Rattus norvegicus: one gene and its partners. The protein of the gene in region 2 purifies or fractionates together with the protein of the main gene of each other region. This does not show direct contact. Links are inferred from orthologs where the notes say so. Each region holds a gene or a part of one and is shown on either strand. Other genes may lie near its edges.

Evidence for each region. Proteins that work in one complex are often made in the same cells at the same time.
Region 1: the proteins of Utrn (region 2) and Sntb2 purify together in Homo sapiens (affinity purification with mass spectrometry; 4 studies listed by BioGRID and IntAct, with this or other methods). This does not show direct contact. The link is inferred for Rattus norvegicus from reciprocal best matches to the Homo sapiens genes UTRN and SNTB2.
Region 3: the proteins of Utrn (region 2) and Dtnb purify together in Homo sapiens (affinity purification with mass spectrometry; 3 studies listed by BioGRID and IntAct, with this or other methods). This does not show direct contact. The link is inferred for Rattus norvegicus from reciprocal best matches to the Homo sapiens genes UTRN and DTNB.

The regions. Positions count from the first base shown.
Region 1 is NC_086037.1:51,739,232-51,744,530, forward strand, and holds the start of Sntb2 (beta-2-syntrophin), read left to right. Parts: upstream 1-2,279; coding exon 2,280-2,805; intron 2,806-5,299. UniProt on the Homo sapiens protein: Adapter protein that binds to and probably organizes the subcellular localization of a variety of membrane proteins. May link various receptors to the actin cytoskeleton and the dystrophin glycoprotein complex.
Region 2 is NC_086019.1:8,848,460-8,852,958, forward strand, and holds part of Utrn (utrophin), read right to left. Parts: intron 3,376-4,499; coding exon 3,214-3,375; intron 2,111-3,213; coding exon 1,982-2,110; intron 921-1,981; coding exon 747-920; intron 1-746.
Region 3 is NC_086024.1:32,284,490-32,289,501, reverse strand, and holds the start of Dtnb (dystrobrevin beta), read right to left. Parts: upstream 3,021-5,012; 5' UTR 2,751-3,020; exon of another isoform or gene 2,736-2,750; intron 1-2,735.

The DNA of each region.
Region 1 (5,299 bases), on a different chromosome or scaffold from region 2:
CTTCAGATACACCAGAAGAGGGCATCAGACCTCATCATAGATGGTTGTGAGCCACCATGTGGTTGTTGGGAATTGAACTCATGACCTCTGGAAGAGCAGTCGGGTGCTCTTAACCGCTGAGCCATCTCTCCAGCCCCCCCCCCCTTTTTTTTATTGTGGATGTTAGGTCAGAGTCTTTAAGTTAGTCTTTCCTATTTGTTCCCCCACCCCAGGGAAATGGAAGAAACAATAGATTACAGTGTCATGGGCAAGAAGTTAGATAATGCTCTATTTTATTATGCTGAGGGTCCTCATACAACATTCTCTAAACCTAAGCCTGTCTCCCCAAGGCTGCTCACCTGTGCTACATATCTTAGCTGAAGGGCAGGTCCAGTGTCTAGCAGAAGTCTCTGATTTGAGGGTCAGGATCCTGGGGAAGACTCTCCAGCTGCAGGGCAGGTCAAAGTAGCAGAGCTCCAGAGGAGAAGAGCACTGTCTGCTTGTTCAGTGGGCGTCAGTTCTTAGACTGTCTGGTTATCTTAAGTGGTGTCATTGAGTTCTGGTTATCAGGTGCAGCCTTGGGTATGGGGATCCTGACTAAGCTATTTTTTACATATCTAAAAGGCTTTTTTTTTTTTTTTTTTTTTGCTGTGGTCGTTATATTGCTATTGGCTCTGCAGTTAGCAAAGTCACACTCTTTAGCTAATAACTCTTTAGTTTCTAGGATGTTCATCTACATATGTTCCCCCCCAAAAAACGTGATGGAATCCAGACTTAAGACCCAAAAACTTGGGGGTTGGGGATTTAGCTCAGTGGTAGAGCACTTGCCTAGCAAGTGCAAGGCCCTGGGTTCGGTCCCCAGTTCCGAAAAAAAAAAGACCCAAAAACTGAGAAAATCAAGACCAAACCCTTTCAGGATTTGGTTATGTGAAGCTTTTCACACACACTACCCAATTCCACTAACCCTATGTTCTGTTCACATTGGAATTCTGGCAACTTCCTAAGAAGATGGTGCATATTTTTTTTTTCACTTGACCAGGCTCAAAGACGCCTGGACAGACAGATGTAAAACCTCTTTGGGTGTGTCTGTTTCTGGAAGAAGTGATTTCCATGGTGACCTGAGGAAAGAAGATTGTCTTCACTAGTGGGAACAGGCATCATCCAATCAGGTGAGTGCAGCCAGGGAACGGTAAGACCCATACATTCACCCTGCGAAAACTGGGACATCTCCTGCCACACTTCAGTGCTCCTGGTTTTCCATGGACTGGGCCAGTTTTTACATAGTAGCTTTCCACTCCCATCCCCCGACTCAGGTCTCAGTCTCCTGATATCTTCAGATTTCTACCTAGTCCTCAGGTCTTTGGATTTGGATCCAGAGCGTACCAGTCAACTTTCCTGGGGCTGCAGAGGGCAGATTGTGGAATTTATCCTCAGAATCTTGTGGCTAATCTCGCACAATCTTCGTTAACTGTATATCCATTGGTCTGTGGGGAACTCTAAAACACCAGCATGCTGCAAATGTCTTTGACCCTGCACACTGTGGCTTCCCAGTGCTTAACAAGGCACGATTCCCTCTAATTGCAGGCAAGCAGATAGGTGATTTATAAAAACAGTGACAAAGCCTTGGATCCATGCCTTTGAACCCATGTCATTTGTGCTGTGTCCTCTGCTGCTCCCACCAAGACTAACCTAACCGTTCTTTTTTATCCTGTTCTAGGGACGTCTGCACAGCCTTTTTAACCACAGAGAATCACACCTAGCTGGTTGCCTCTGTTTTTCTTTCCCATTAGACCACAAGCTCTCTCAGCTGTGGTGCATTTTATTCAGCTTGTCTCTAGGGCCTTAAAAGGAGCCCCAGCACACCTCTGAGCGCTTAGGGATCTTTGCAATGAACCAATCAATGCAAGAATGAACGCGCCACCCGGCCCTGCAGGATCGCAAAGTGTCTCTCCACGCTGACTTTGCTCTCCGTGCCGGGGCAGCTCTCATAGAAAAGGTCAGGAGTTCGAGGAGGTCACGGGGAACCAAAGCGAAGGACTGTGGGGAGCCCTGCTGCATGTACTAGGTGCTGCCCACCTACCAAGAGCTTTCGGTGAACCAGGACAACCTAGCCTCCCGGAAGCGGCCTCGCCGGCCTTTCCCCGCCCCTCCGGAAAGTGGGCGTGACCCTCATGAATAATGAATCGCCGGGGGGAGGGGAGGGGTCCGCCCCCCCTCGGGCGGGAAGGGGGAAGCGCCGAGGCTGCCTGACTGGAATCGGGGGAGCTGCAGCGACGGCGGCTGCGGGAGCAGGGCTGGCCATGGCGGTGTGGACGCGGGCCACCAAAGCGGGACTGGTGGAGCTGCTTCTGAGGGAGCGCTGGGTGCGGGTGGTGGCCGAACTCAGTGGCGAGAGCCTGAGCCTGACGGGCGACGCCGCGGCGGTCGAGCCTGAACCGCCCGCGGTCGCCTTCAACGGTCTCCCGAACGGCGGCGGCGGCGGCGGAGACTCGCTGCCGGGGAGCCCGAACCGCGGCCTGGGGCCGCCCAGCCCTCCCGCGCCGCCCCGCGGTCCGGCTGGGGAAGCGAGCGCCTCGCCCCCCGTGCGCCGAGTGCGAGTGGTGAAGCAGGAGGCGGGCGGCCTGGGCATCAGCATCAAGGGCGGCCGAGAGAACCGGATGCCGATCCTCATCTCCAAGATCTTCCCAGGGCTGGCGGCCGACCAGAGCCGGGCGCTGCGGCTAGGCGACGCCATCCTGTCGGTGAACGGCACCGACCTGCGCCAGGCCACCCACGACCAGGCCGTGCAGGCGCTGAAGCGCGCGGGCAAGGAGGTGCTGCTGGAGGGTGAGCGGGGCCGAGCGGGAGGCAGCGGGTGGCGGCCTGGGCTCGCCAGCGCGCACTTTGTTTCTGCCCACCCTGACGCCTGTGCGGCGAGCCGGTTCTCTCCGCCTCAGCCACCAGACCTCCTCCTCTGGGGCTCCAGAGTGTGGAAAAACTGAGGCGCCCAGAGAGGAGAAAGTTGGGCAGTCACCGAAGTGTTACTTTGCCGCCCCTCAGCGAGACTCAGCTGAGATTTAGGGGGGAGCAGCAGCCGCATGCAAAGCTCACCCCTCTTGCACGATAAGCTGACACTAAGCACCAACTACCAGGAGAGCGATCGGCTCGAGTTCCGTAGTTTCCTTTTTCCCTGTTGGGAAGCGTTGGTTGGGCGCTTTCTTTAGTCACCTCGGGCTCCCCGGGCGGGCCGGTCTATTAAATCCATCCACACCGATGCCAGCAGTTTGCTTGGGCAAACCACCAAAGCACTGGTTAATTTATGGGAATTTAACCCATCATTGGCTCTCAACAATAACCAGAGGAGATCACAGCACTTCGTGGAAGGCAGGAGAGCTGATACAGCAAGTTTGTGTGGTTAATGAGCCTTGTTTAACAGTGGAGGCTCACGTGTTTGAGCATTTTACTGCCAACTAGAGTTTCGCCCCTTTTGCAAGAGTCTGGTGCCAGCTTCCTACCGCTTGCAGGCATGCTGCCGCAAGACCAGAAGGCATTTTATAACAATCCTGAAACGATACCATCACACGATATGTGTGAATTAGCCTTCTTTACCGTAAATGTAGATGTGATCTGTGAGCTACGTTTCGTGTGAATCAATGTAACTTGCAGAATTAAATCTCACCTCCAAAGACTCCTGCGTGTTGAAGGTGATGGAGCACTGTAAATGAAAAGCCAGTTGCTTGCTTTAGAAATAATTGCAAGACCAGCTTCATTTCCGCTGTTGAGTCAGTCATTCCAGGAGCATTTATTGCTGCTAGCTGTGTAATAGAGAATGCGAAAGGTGTTGTCCCTGTTGTATCTCCGCGGGAGGAAATGATAGGAAATGCAAAACAACTTCTAGGGAGGAATAACGTTAAGTACTGGACTCTGTAGTACAAATTACAAGATGCTAAGGGATTACAAGTTTAAGTTGTATTTGACTGTAGCCTTTGGCATGGTTCACAGACTGCACTCAAGAGGCAGAGGCAGGTAGATCTCTGAGTTTAAGAAGAACCTGGGCTGGGCTAGAGAGATGGCACAGTGGTTAAGAACACTGACTGCTCTTCTAGACGTCCTGAGTTCAATTCCCAGCAACCACATGGTGGCTCACAACCATCTGTCATAGGATTGGACACCCTCTTCTGGTGTGCATGAAGACAGCTACAGTGTATACATAAAATAAATAAACCTTTAAAAAAAAGGAAGAAGAACCTGGTTTCTACATAGTGAGTTTCAGAACAGTCAGGGCTACTACACAGTGGGACTCTGTCAAAAAAAAAAAAAATTCCAGAAAAGTATTTGCTGGAAAGGGGTTAGTCCAGGAGGGCTTTCCAGGAAGTGATGGGTGAGGAGGGATTTCTGGCAGGAGAACTGAGGGAAGAGTTGAAGTTATGGAGAAAACCATCACACTAAGAGCAGAATTGTAACTTTGTGAAATAATTTTCATCTTTTTGTTTGTTGGCCTGGAATTCACAGAGATTGATCTGCTAAGTGCTAGGATTAAAGGCATGTTACACCGTGCACAGCTTATTTGTGTGTGCTCTCAAATAGCGAGTGTGTCTGTATCTCTGTGTCTGTCTGTCTGTCTGTGAGCATGTTCACATTCAGGCCAGGCTGGCCTCCAAGTGGTCATCTTACTGACTCAGCCTCATGATTGCTAGGATTAAAGGCATTTACTGCCATATCCAGTTCAGTTTTCTCTTAAATTTTTAAAAATTATTATTTTATGCATATGAGCGTTTTTGCCTTCCAGTATAGCTGTGCCTCACATGTATACCTGGTGCCCGTGGAGGCCAGAAGAGAGTGTCAGGTCCACTGGGACTAGAGTTTCAGGCGAGTGTGAGCCTGGAGGTGGGTAATGGGAATCAAACCTAGGTCCTCTGTAAGAGCAGCCAGTGTTCTTCCCTGCCGAGCTACCTCTCCAGCCCTACTTTTCACTTTTTTGTAAATCTGTGATACTTGGAAGCAAAAAGGTTTTTTTTTTTAAGATTTATTTATTTACTTAATGTATATAAGCACACTGTAGCTGTCTTCAGACACACCCAACCCCATTACAGATGAGCAACAAGTTTAAAAAGAAATAACATAGGGGTTGGGGATTTAGCTCAGTGGTAGAGCGCTTGCCTAGGAAGCGCAAGGCCCTGGGTTCGGTCCCCAGCTCCAAAAAAAAGAGCCAAAAAAAAAAAAAAGAAAGAAATAACATGGTGCCCAACAGTGTTGGTGAATGCCTTTAATCCCAGCCCTGGGAGGCACAGTTAGGTGGATCTTGGGTTTGAGTTCAGCCAGGTTTACAGAGTTCCAGAAC
Region 2 (4,499 bases):
GAGTTTCCAACTCAAAACACCTCAAGGATACACAGCCAGTATCTGTGATGTTTGCCGTTCTGTCCCAGTAAGCAAAGGGAAGCTTACAACACTTGCGTGTGATTCAAATGTCTCCTACCCCAGCACTATTCCAAGCACACGAGAAACGAAACGTGAAAAACAACAGCCCCACAGGTATCTCCTGCGGACTCCTCTAAGATTGCCAGGCACCACAATAAGGCTAAGTTCAGATCCTCCCCTGCCCCAACATCATTTAAAAATCTCTATTTAACTACAAACAATGAAACAATAAGGTCTTATTTGCCATCCACTTCTGCCCATCTGAAAGTTTAAACTTTGACTTAAAGGTCATGTTCCTAGCAAAGCATTTTTTTTTAATTCTGTAATATTCCAAATATTACAGAGACTTCAAAATTTATTGTGAAAATTTTCACCTATCAGTCATGTCCTGCAGAAGTCTTTCCTATTTCGTGTTATAACTTACGCATTTTTTTGTTTTCTTTTTAATACATGTTATTAGTGTGCCATTTGCTTCCGTATCTGCACGGACCATAAATACTGTTTTCACACTCTCCCATTTCTCTCGTAGCATCTATTTTTTTCTCTGGGACGGCCGCATTTCTTACTGTTCTAACACGTCCTCTGTCATCTTCACACCCCGAACTGAGGAATAAGAACGGATGCTCTGAACTACACTATAGCGGCATCTCTGGCCGTGCGAGCCGCCCCCTCCGTCTCAGGCTCACCATGCACTTGTCCAAGTGGGTCTGGATGACGTCGGGGTCCACATCCTTCACACTGAGGACGTGGAGCTCGGCCTTCACGCCATCCAGCACGCGCTTGCAGTCAAGCATCCGCTGCTCGAAATTCGCGGGCTTCTGGAAAAGCTGGAATTTGGTGGAAACCTCTCGGAGTTTCCTCTGTGTGCAGAAATGAAAGTAAGCCACTCGCTCTCTCTCTCTCTCTCTCTCTCTCTCTCTCTCTCTAGCTGTTAGTATAATACATTAATACTAAAAGGCTTCTCAAAAAAAAAAAAAAAAAAACAAGCCAACCCAGGAAAGCCCAGAGGGATTAGGAAGGTTCTGGTAGAGTAAAACAATGGTTCTTAGCCCTCCTAATGATGCAACCATTTAACACAGTTCCTCGTGTTGTGGTGGCCCCCAACCATAAAATTATTTCACTTGCTACTTCCTAATTGTAATTGCAACTGTTATAAATCATAATGTAATTAATTCATAATTATCTTATATGCAGGGTATCTGATAGGTAACCCCCAAAGGGGTCACGACCCACAGGTTGAGAACCACTGTTCAATGTCATGGATGAGCAGCCCTCAGTATTCCCAGTCTCCAAAACAAACATGGATACAGATGGTGTCTCCGGAACGACAGTCCACTAATTTACTCACTTCCTCCAGGAAACCTAGGTCATGGACGTAGACCTCAGACACCTTCCACCACATTAAGAGTGACAGCCCTTCTCCCTCCACGCACTAAGGACCTGAGTGGTCCTGCATCCCGCCCAGACATCAGTCTCTGGGGTCAGAGAGCAGTCCACACAAAGCCAACCGCAAGGCTGAACCCAGTCTCTCTTCTCAACCAACTAGGGTCCTGCCAAGACTCGACCCCACCCCACAGTATAGGGGAGTGTCAGGGCGGAGAGGTGAGAAGGGGTGGGTGGGGGAACAACCTCATAGAAGATGGGGGAGGGGAAACGGGATTGGGGTTTTTGGATGGGAAACCAGGAAAAGGGATACCATTTGAAATGTAAATAAATAAAAATAATAACAATAAAAAACTTTGCTATTTTATTACCCAGCTAACAACCTGTGCCTGCTGCCATGAGGCCCAGTGAGCCTTTAATACCCACTCACATCCCATTGTTCGAATCACAGTACAGAGCCAGGGTACCCACATACCCTTTCTGCTTTCCTTTCTATACCTGCCATATATAAAAAGCAAAGGGGAAACCTGGCCTTTACCTGGAGCAGGTCCATCTGACTTCCTCCTCTTGTGGTTCTGCCCTCAGGGGAGGTGGGGGGCTGAGGGCGGACATTCTTTTTCAGCTCCTCCAGGGTGAGCTCATGGGCTGAGATTTCTGCTTGGATCTTCTACCGGGAAGATAAAAAAGGGAGAAGGTGTGTTTTTAAAGTCCACTGAGAAGCCCTGGGTAATGATGGCCCTTGCTTGTAATTCTAGCACTCTGGAGGCTGGAGCAGGAGGACAGCCAGGTTTAAGGCCACCCTTGGCTACACAGTAAGTCCCAGGCAAGCATGAGTTCCATATGTCTTTAAACAACATGTATGTTTTTAATACAACAGTTTTCACACAGCAGTGTGCCTTTATAGGACAACAGCAAAGTACACGAAGAAACAGAAACACAGAAGGTCAGTGTAGCTGTGCAGTATCTGATCCTGTATTTAATAAGCTTGGGGGACACTTGGTAATAACAAACTGCTACACGGTACACCACTGTGTGCCGTGCACATGCTAAGGCCTCTGCATGCCATTATTGATGCTCACACCTGATTTATATAGAATAAACTGCCTGAACTTTATAGCTAAGGAAGGAAGGAAGGGAGGGAGGGGGGGAGGGAGGGAGAGAGAGAGAGAGAGAGAGAGAGAGAGAGAGAGAGAGAGAGAGGGGAAGAGGAAGAGAGAAAGAGAAAGAAAGAAAAGGAAGAAAGAGAAAGAAAGAAGAAAGAAAGAAAAGGAAGAAAGAGAAAGAAAGAAAGAAAGAAAGAAAGAAAGAAAGAAAGAAAGAAAGAAGAAAGAAAGAAAGAAAGAAAGAAAGAAAGAAAGAAAGAGGAAGAAAGAAATCCATTTTCTAATGTATGAGCTGTGGGAAAGGAGCTGGAGAGATGGCTCGGCTGTTAAGAGCACCAGCTGCTCTTCCAAAGGATCTAAGTTCCTTTCCCAGCACCCATAGGGTGGTTTATAACAGTCTAACTCCAGTTCCAGGGGATTCAAAGCTGCCTTCTGGCATCCGCAGGCAGTAGGCATGAACACAGTGCACATGTGCACGTGTAAGCAAAACACTCCTATGCGTGAAAGATTAAAGAGAAAAATGCTTCAAGTTCTCACCCAAGGAACAAGAACAGCTCCAAAGCCAAGACCGTTCCATAAAGAATGCCTGTTCTCCTGGCTCTGACAGACGGTCAGATGGAAACCGTTCTCTCTCAGAACACAAAGGCTCGCTACTTTGTAGCAGTACCTGAGCTTCCTGGGGCAGCTGGAAGGCATCAATCCTGTCCGTCAGGTATGTGGTAAGCTGCTTGTCCAGCTCCCCTAGGCTCTCCTTCAGCACCTGAAGCATGTGGTCAGTTTCGCGGAGGACCTGGAGTTGCTTCTCCAAAGAGATCTGTTTGCTCTCCGCCTGCACGGAGGAGACATTTCCTCTGTAACTGCTCAGCACAAGTATAAATAGCTGGATGTGCTTTCTGGCCATGCAGGTTATAATAAAGTACTGGTTCAAGACTGAAGCTCTTCTTATAAATAAATAATGACCATCAATAAGAAGAGTGCAAATGTTCTTCTAGTATCTCATGGCCTCAGCTGCTGAACCTCTCATTTTTACTTTCTATTAATGTATACTATGACAAAATACACATACGAAGAGATCTCCCATAGGGCATATATGACAGAATAAAAATGGGCATTTTAGGTGACTGTCTCAGTGGCTAAGTACTTGTTGCCCTTGTGGAGGATGAGGGTTTGGTTCCCTCCATGGTGGCTCACAACCATCTGTACCCCAGGCTCTAGGGAATCAAACACACTCTTCTAGACAACATGAGCATCAGACACATACACGGGACACAGACATGTATGCAGACACTCATATATGCAAAATGTCTTAAATTAAGTAAAATTTGTAGTTTTTTAATTTTTTATTTACTAGAAACAAAAGGCAATTTTAAGAATTACCAATGCCTATCGAAAAAATAAGACATAGTAAGAATGTCTGTCAAGTGAATACCTAATTTTTTTTCTAAAATTGAGAACAAGTTCTGTGGGTGTACAGGTGAGTAAAACCACGAATTGCCACACATCTTTGGATTAAGTCAATGATATTTAGAGTCTAAATCTGAACAGTTGCTATTCAGTAATCTCTTATAATTCGCTAATTACCCACTCAGCCTTCTTACAAAAGAACAACGCCCCTTCTCTTATCACTGATATGAGCATGCGTGTTGAGATATAATCTGGACACAATCCAAGTGATGCAGCTTTCATAACACTTAATGTCAAATTCTGATGCCCCTAATAGTTCCTGGGACATACATAGAGAAGGTATTGTTTTCAGACATGACTGTAATACAATTCTTGCAGAAAATTACATCATCACAAATAGAAATTATCTCAAAGAAGTGTTGGAGGCGGAGGGTAACTGGGAATCTAACCCATGCCCTTGTGTGTACTAGGCAAGTGTTTAACCACTGGGTTACATCCAGTATCTGACAAAGTTTGGTTTGGTTTGGGCTGGGGTTGGTTTGGTAAGAC
Region 3 (5,012 bases), on a different chromosome or scaffold from region 2:
CAGCCACTTAGAAAAGAAGTTTTCATATATTTATGACAAACATTACATTTTTGTTTTTAAGAAAAGTCTCAGACTAGAAGGTGTATTTGATTTCCATTCACTGCCAATAATAAGAGAGGCTTAAATATACTAAGTACAGTGCGCAACATACATTAAGAAATCACACAGTAAAGACTACGCAGGTCTTGTGTTCCAACATGAAAAAAAAAAGTCTACAGAGCAACCTAGACAGAATGCTATAGTAAAATGCAAAGAGAGCTGGAAATGACTCAGTGGATAACGCACTTGCCACGCAAATATACGAATTGGAGTTCAAATCTCTAGAACCCGCATACAAGCCAGGCAGGTATAGCAGCCACCTACAATGCCAGCGCTCTAGAGACAGACAGGAGTCATCAGAACGAGCTGACTGGCTAGACTAGCCAAATTGGCCAGCTCCAGGTTCAGGAGGAGGCTGAACTTAATAAATAAGTAAGAGAGCAACTGAGAACCTCCAGTGTCAACTCTGGGCTTTCACAGGCATATACAATGTATGGTACATGGATACCATATGCAGACTCCCCCATACCACATACACATGCAAAAAAAGTAAAATGCATAGAAAAAGGCCTGGGAAGAAAACAACAAACTGGTAACCGGAGTAGAAAAAGGAGTAGGTATGTCAAGGGAGTTTTATTTGGAGCAATTTACAAGCAAATATGCATTCTGAACTGCTCAAACTACTGCAACTCCAGGAGCTGCCAGCACAGAGAGACTCCAGTGCAAAAGACACCCTAGAACAGCAGCGTACCTCCAGCACATCTAGAAACCACAGCTCTAATGCTTATGTAATTTTAAGTTAATAAAATAGAGGGAGGGGTTGTCCCCAAGACAGCAGGAGTTAACTTTCTCATGATACAAAAGTATATATTTTGATTGGGATAGGTTACAAAGTACACATGTCTTTTCTTTTTTTGTTTGTTTTCTTGGGGGAGGGACTTTTGTTACTTTGTTTTGCTTTTTTTGTTGTTGTTGAAACAGTGTCTTCCTATGTAACCCTAGCTGGACTTGAAGTGATCAGCTTGCCTCTGCCTCCTAAGGACTTCAATCTAAAGACATATGCCACCATGCCCACCAATATGTACCATTTTTTCAAAATACCCAACTCAATATGCAAAGTCTATCCATTTTATCCTATGTAAACTACACATGAAGAAGGCACAGTAGTGCACACCTGTAATCCCAGGACACATAGATAGGAGAATAGACATAAGTTCAAAGTCAGAATGACAGAGAGAGACCCTATCTTTAACCCAAACAAACAAAAAGTTTGTTTTAACCAGCCATGGTGCTTCACAGGAAGGACTAACAGAAGGATAGCCACAGTTCAAAGTCAACTTACAGCCTGGGCTACTGTATTTCGAGTACCAATATAGCTGGGGTTACTACTCAGCAAGACCCTGCTTCAAAAACCGGGGGTAGAGGGTTTATTTTCAAATAAATGTAAATTAAATATCTAAATAAAATATTAGAAGTGCCCGAAACAAGACACCCAAATTTGCAAAGCCACATAGGCACCCCAAAACAAAACCTAAGAGAGACTTAATGGTTGTACCCTGAAATGCAAATACTAATTAAAATGAACTAAATGAATATACTTCAAGGCTTCTATATATCCAATGACAAATTTGGATTAATATTGCTCTTATTTTTTATATAAGGAGACTAAGGGTCAGATATGTTAACATCTGAAGACATGAAATAAAGGGTAACTGGAAATCCTGCGCACTCTAATATTTTAACTATATTCTGTCTCCCGGGCAAAATTCAGTGAAGCTAAAGACCCTGCCAGCACCACCTTGCCTGCACAACCCCTTCAGAGGCAGTTCCACTTAAGTCTGATAAAAATCCTCAGAGAACACATAAAAGGTCAAGTTTTAATTTGGCAAGCAAAGTAATCCAACAGGCATTGCAAGCCAGGGAAAGGAAGCAGCAGTATGGGGCTGGAGAGTCCAAGCAAGGCAGAGGACAGAACTCCAGCCCTTACAGACCTGAAGAGACTTAAGCATTCTCTCACCTCAGAACCAAGATCCAAGAGGCAGGATAGAAATTATAAAGTGTTCTCTAGGCAAAAGCTCCCTCCAGTCCTCCTCAAACGACAGAGGAGGGGGGAAAAGGCCAATGAGAGAAGGACCGGAACCTGACTTCAAGCAGCCACCCAAAGAACAAGCTTCTGGTGCACAACATACAAGAACCGCGTGGATGAAGAAGTGGCCACAAGCCACCGGAGTCTGCCACCTAAGCCACTGGTTTAGCGTCTAAAACCCTGGGTTACCTGAGAAGGCAAAAAGAGAATCCTAGGACCAAAGGAAGCCAGCGAGCATCCCTAACTCTACAGAGACTGACACTACTTCATATCAAATGTATCAAACCCTGGTCCCTCCATCCACTCCTGCAGTGGGCATCCATTGTAGGGCTTTCGGGATCCAGGCCACATCCTGAGGACTGGGCAGAAAACAGGCGCGGAGCTTAATTCTAGTTGGGAAGGCAAGATTCTCCTTCCAAATTTCTTTCCCCTCTCTTTTAAATGTCAGTAAGACCCTTCAAATCTCTTCCCAATAGCTCCCACCAGCTTTCCTCAAGTATCTTACTTTCTCCACAAGCCAAGCAACTTACGGCCCAGTTTCCCAGGGCTGGGAAAATCCTAAAGAGACCTGAAGTGAACAGAACAAGAAACATAAAATAGAGCACTTTACATTTTGTGTGTATACTTTCACAGCCGGACTGTCAGCACTTCAACAGCAAATAAATGATGGTTGAGAGTGATAAAGTCGTGACCCGGGCGCTGACCGCGGTTCTCTCCTGCTCCGTAGCTAATCAATAAACGCTTGCAGAGAATGCTAGAAAGGTCTCCCTGATTCCCCAAGGCCTGGCACAGGAATTTAACAGTAAGCATTCGTCAGCTGCATCCTCGCTCTTCTCGGGACACTGTGCCCATCAGAGGTGACCTGAGTAGACAGGTTCGTCTACCGGGAGCCTCGGGAGACACTGAGAGGTGATCTGGAATGAATTCCCTCCCCTCTGCCAGGGCCTGCCTACCTCACCTGCCCTCTGCCAGGACCTGCCGCCTTCGCCCCCTTCAGCACCTAACGCTGAGCCTCCTCCCCGCAAGTCCGGCTCAGGCTGCATCAGCAGCGCGCGCAGCCGGGTTCTGCGCTCCGCGGCCCCCCGCGCGCCCGGGTGACCGGAGAGCCCTCTCCGGCCCGGCGTGCGGTCTCCCAAGGGTCGCCGTTCCAGGGCCGCGCGCTCCGCCACCCCGCAGCCCTCCTTTTCGCTCCTCCAGCCCCGGCGGACTCCCCACCTGGCTCGCTTCCCGGCCGAAGCTGAGGGGCCGTCGCGTGGCTCTCCGGCGGCCGCAGCCTCCTCCGACCCGGCCCCCTCGGCAGAGGCAGCTGAAGCAGCGGCAGCGACTGAGGCGGCGGCGCCCACTCAGGCCCCGGAGCCGCCCCCGCGGCGAACGTTCCTGGCGCCGGCTCGCGCCGCTTCCCCGCCCGGCACGCGCAGCGAGCCCGCCCCCGGCGCGAGGGCGCGAGGGCGAGGGCGAGGGCGGGTGCGCGCGGAGGGCGGGCGCGCGGAGGGGCGGGGCTTCCGCCGCCAGAGGGGGCGGGGAGGCGGCCGAGTGCCCTCCCGCGGGTTTGCGCGCCCCCTCCGGGCCTCTGCTGTGCGCTGGCCGCGGAGGCGGAGGTGGAGGCGGAGGTGCGCTTCCACTCCACAGGTAGCTGCCGGGCGGCTGGGTGCTGCGCCGACGTGACTGAACCGTAAGGAATGCGAAGAAATACCCGGTGAATCATTCACCCGCGCCTCGAGCGCCGGGTCCTCCCCCGAGTGACTTTCCACATTGCCTCAGCAGGCTCGTTTGAGCACTAACTCATGCGCCTGGTGCCCGGTGGACACGATCTGGGTCACGGCCCTGGTCCCCAAGAGCGCATAACTTAGGGAGAAGAGCAGCCTTGCGAAGGACCGAGTCCGGTCCTCTGCGCAAAGGCAAGCCACAGCCGGATGCGGTGAGAGGATGAGGAGGGACAGATTACTTTCCGCTTAGTCGTTCAGTAGTTCCTGAAAGTGGGAGTATTTGGACATTAAACAGCTTGGACAAGGGAGCAGGGGCGACAAAGCTTCATTTATTTATGTATCTATATTTATTACCAACTCATCTATCCTTTTTTAAAGCATTTATGTTTTATTTTATGTGTATGAGTGTTTGGGCTGCAATGTTTGCACCCCGTGAGTGCCCCCGGAGGCCAGAAGAGTGTTTTGGATCCCCTGGAACTGTGAAGTGTGGATGGATGCTGGGGAATCAAACGCAGGTCCTCGGATAACATAGCAAGTGCTCTTTGCTGAGCCATCTCTCCAGCCCCTCATATTGCCATTTTTTTATAGAATCCTTCTTTAGGGACATCGAAGTCTTCTTTTAACGTCTCAAAAATCAAAAAATTTCCCCTCAACATTAAGACAACAGCAATATCCCTTAGGTTTTTGGTGTATGTGAACGTGCATGTGTGAATGGAAGCAGCTCCAGGCCTTTGTGCTTTAGGGAAGCTTTTTGAAGCTTTCTGGCACCTTCTGGAAAAGCAGATCGTGCCACCTGCTTCGATCACACTGTCGGGCTGCCTCTAGAACACCCTTTTCCTCCTCTTCTCACAATCTATTTTTAAATTCCTATGGTGAAGGCAGTCAGTGCTGTGTTGATAACTTTTTTTTTCTGAGGGGGAGGGAATACATTACTTTTTACACAGGAATCGTGTGGCTGCTTTGCATGTCGGAGGAGACTCACTGGTTGCTGGGTGGTGACTGCTCCAACCATGTAAGGATATTCCGACTATGTCAAGAGACATTTAGTTTCTTACCATGTATCGAGCTCCTGCTATGGGGAAGGCACTGATGGGTAAAAACATTGACTCTGGCAATGAGGTAGACTGTGAAACTGAAGCTATAGGAACCCAGTACGGGGCCTCAAACACCTGTAATTCCTA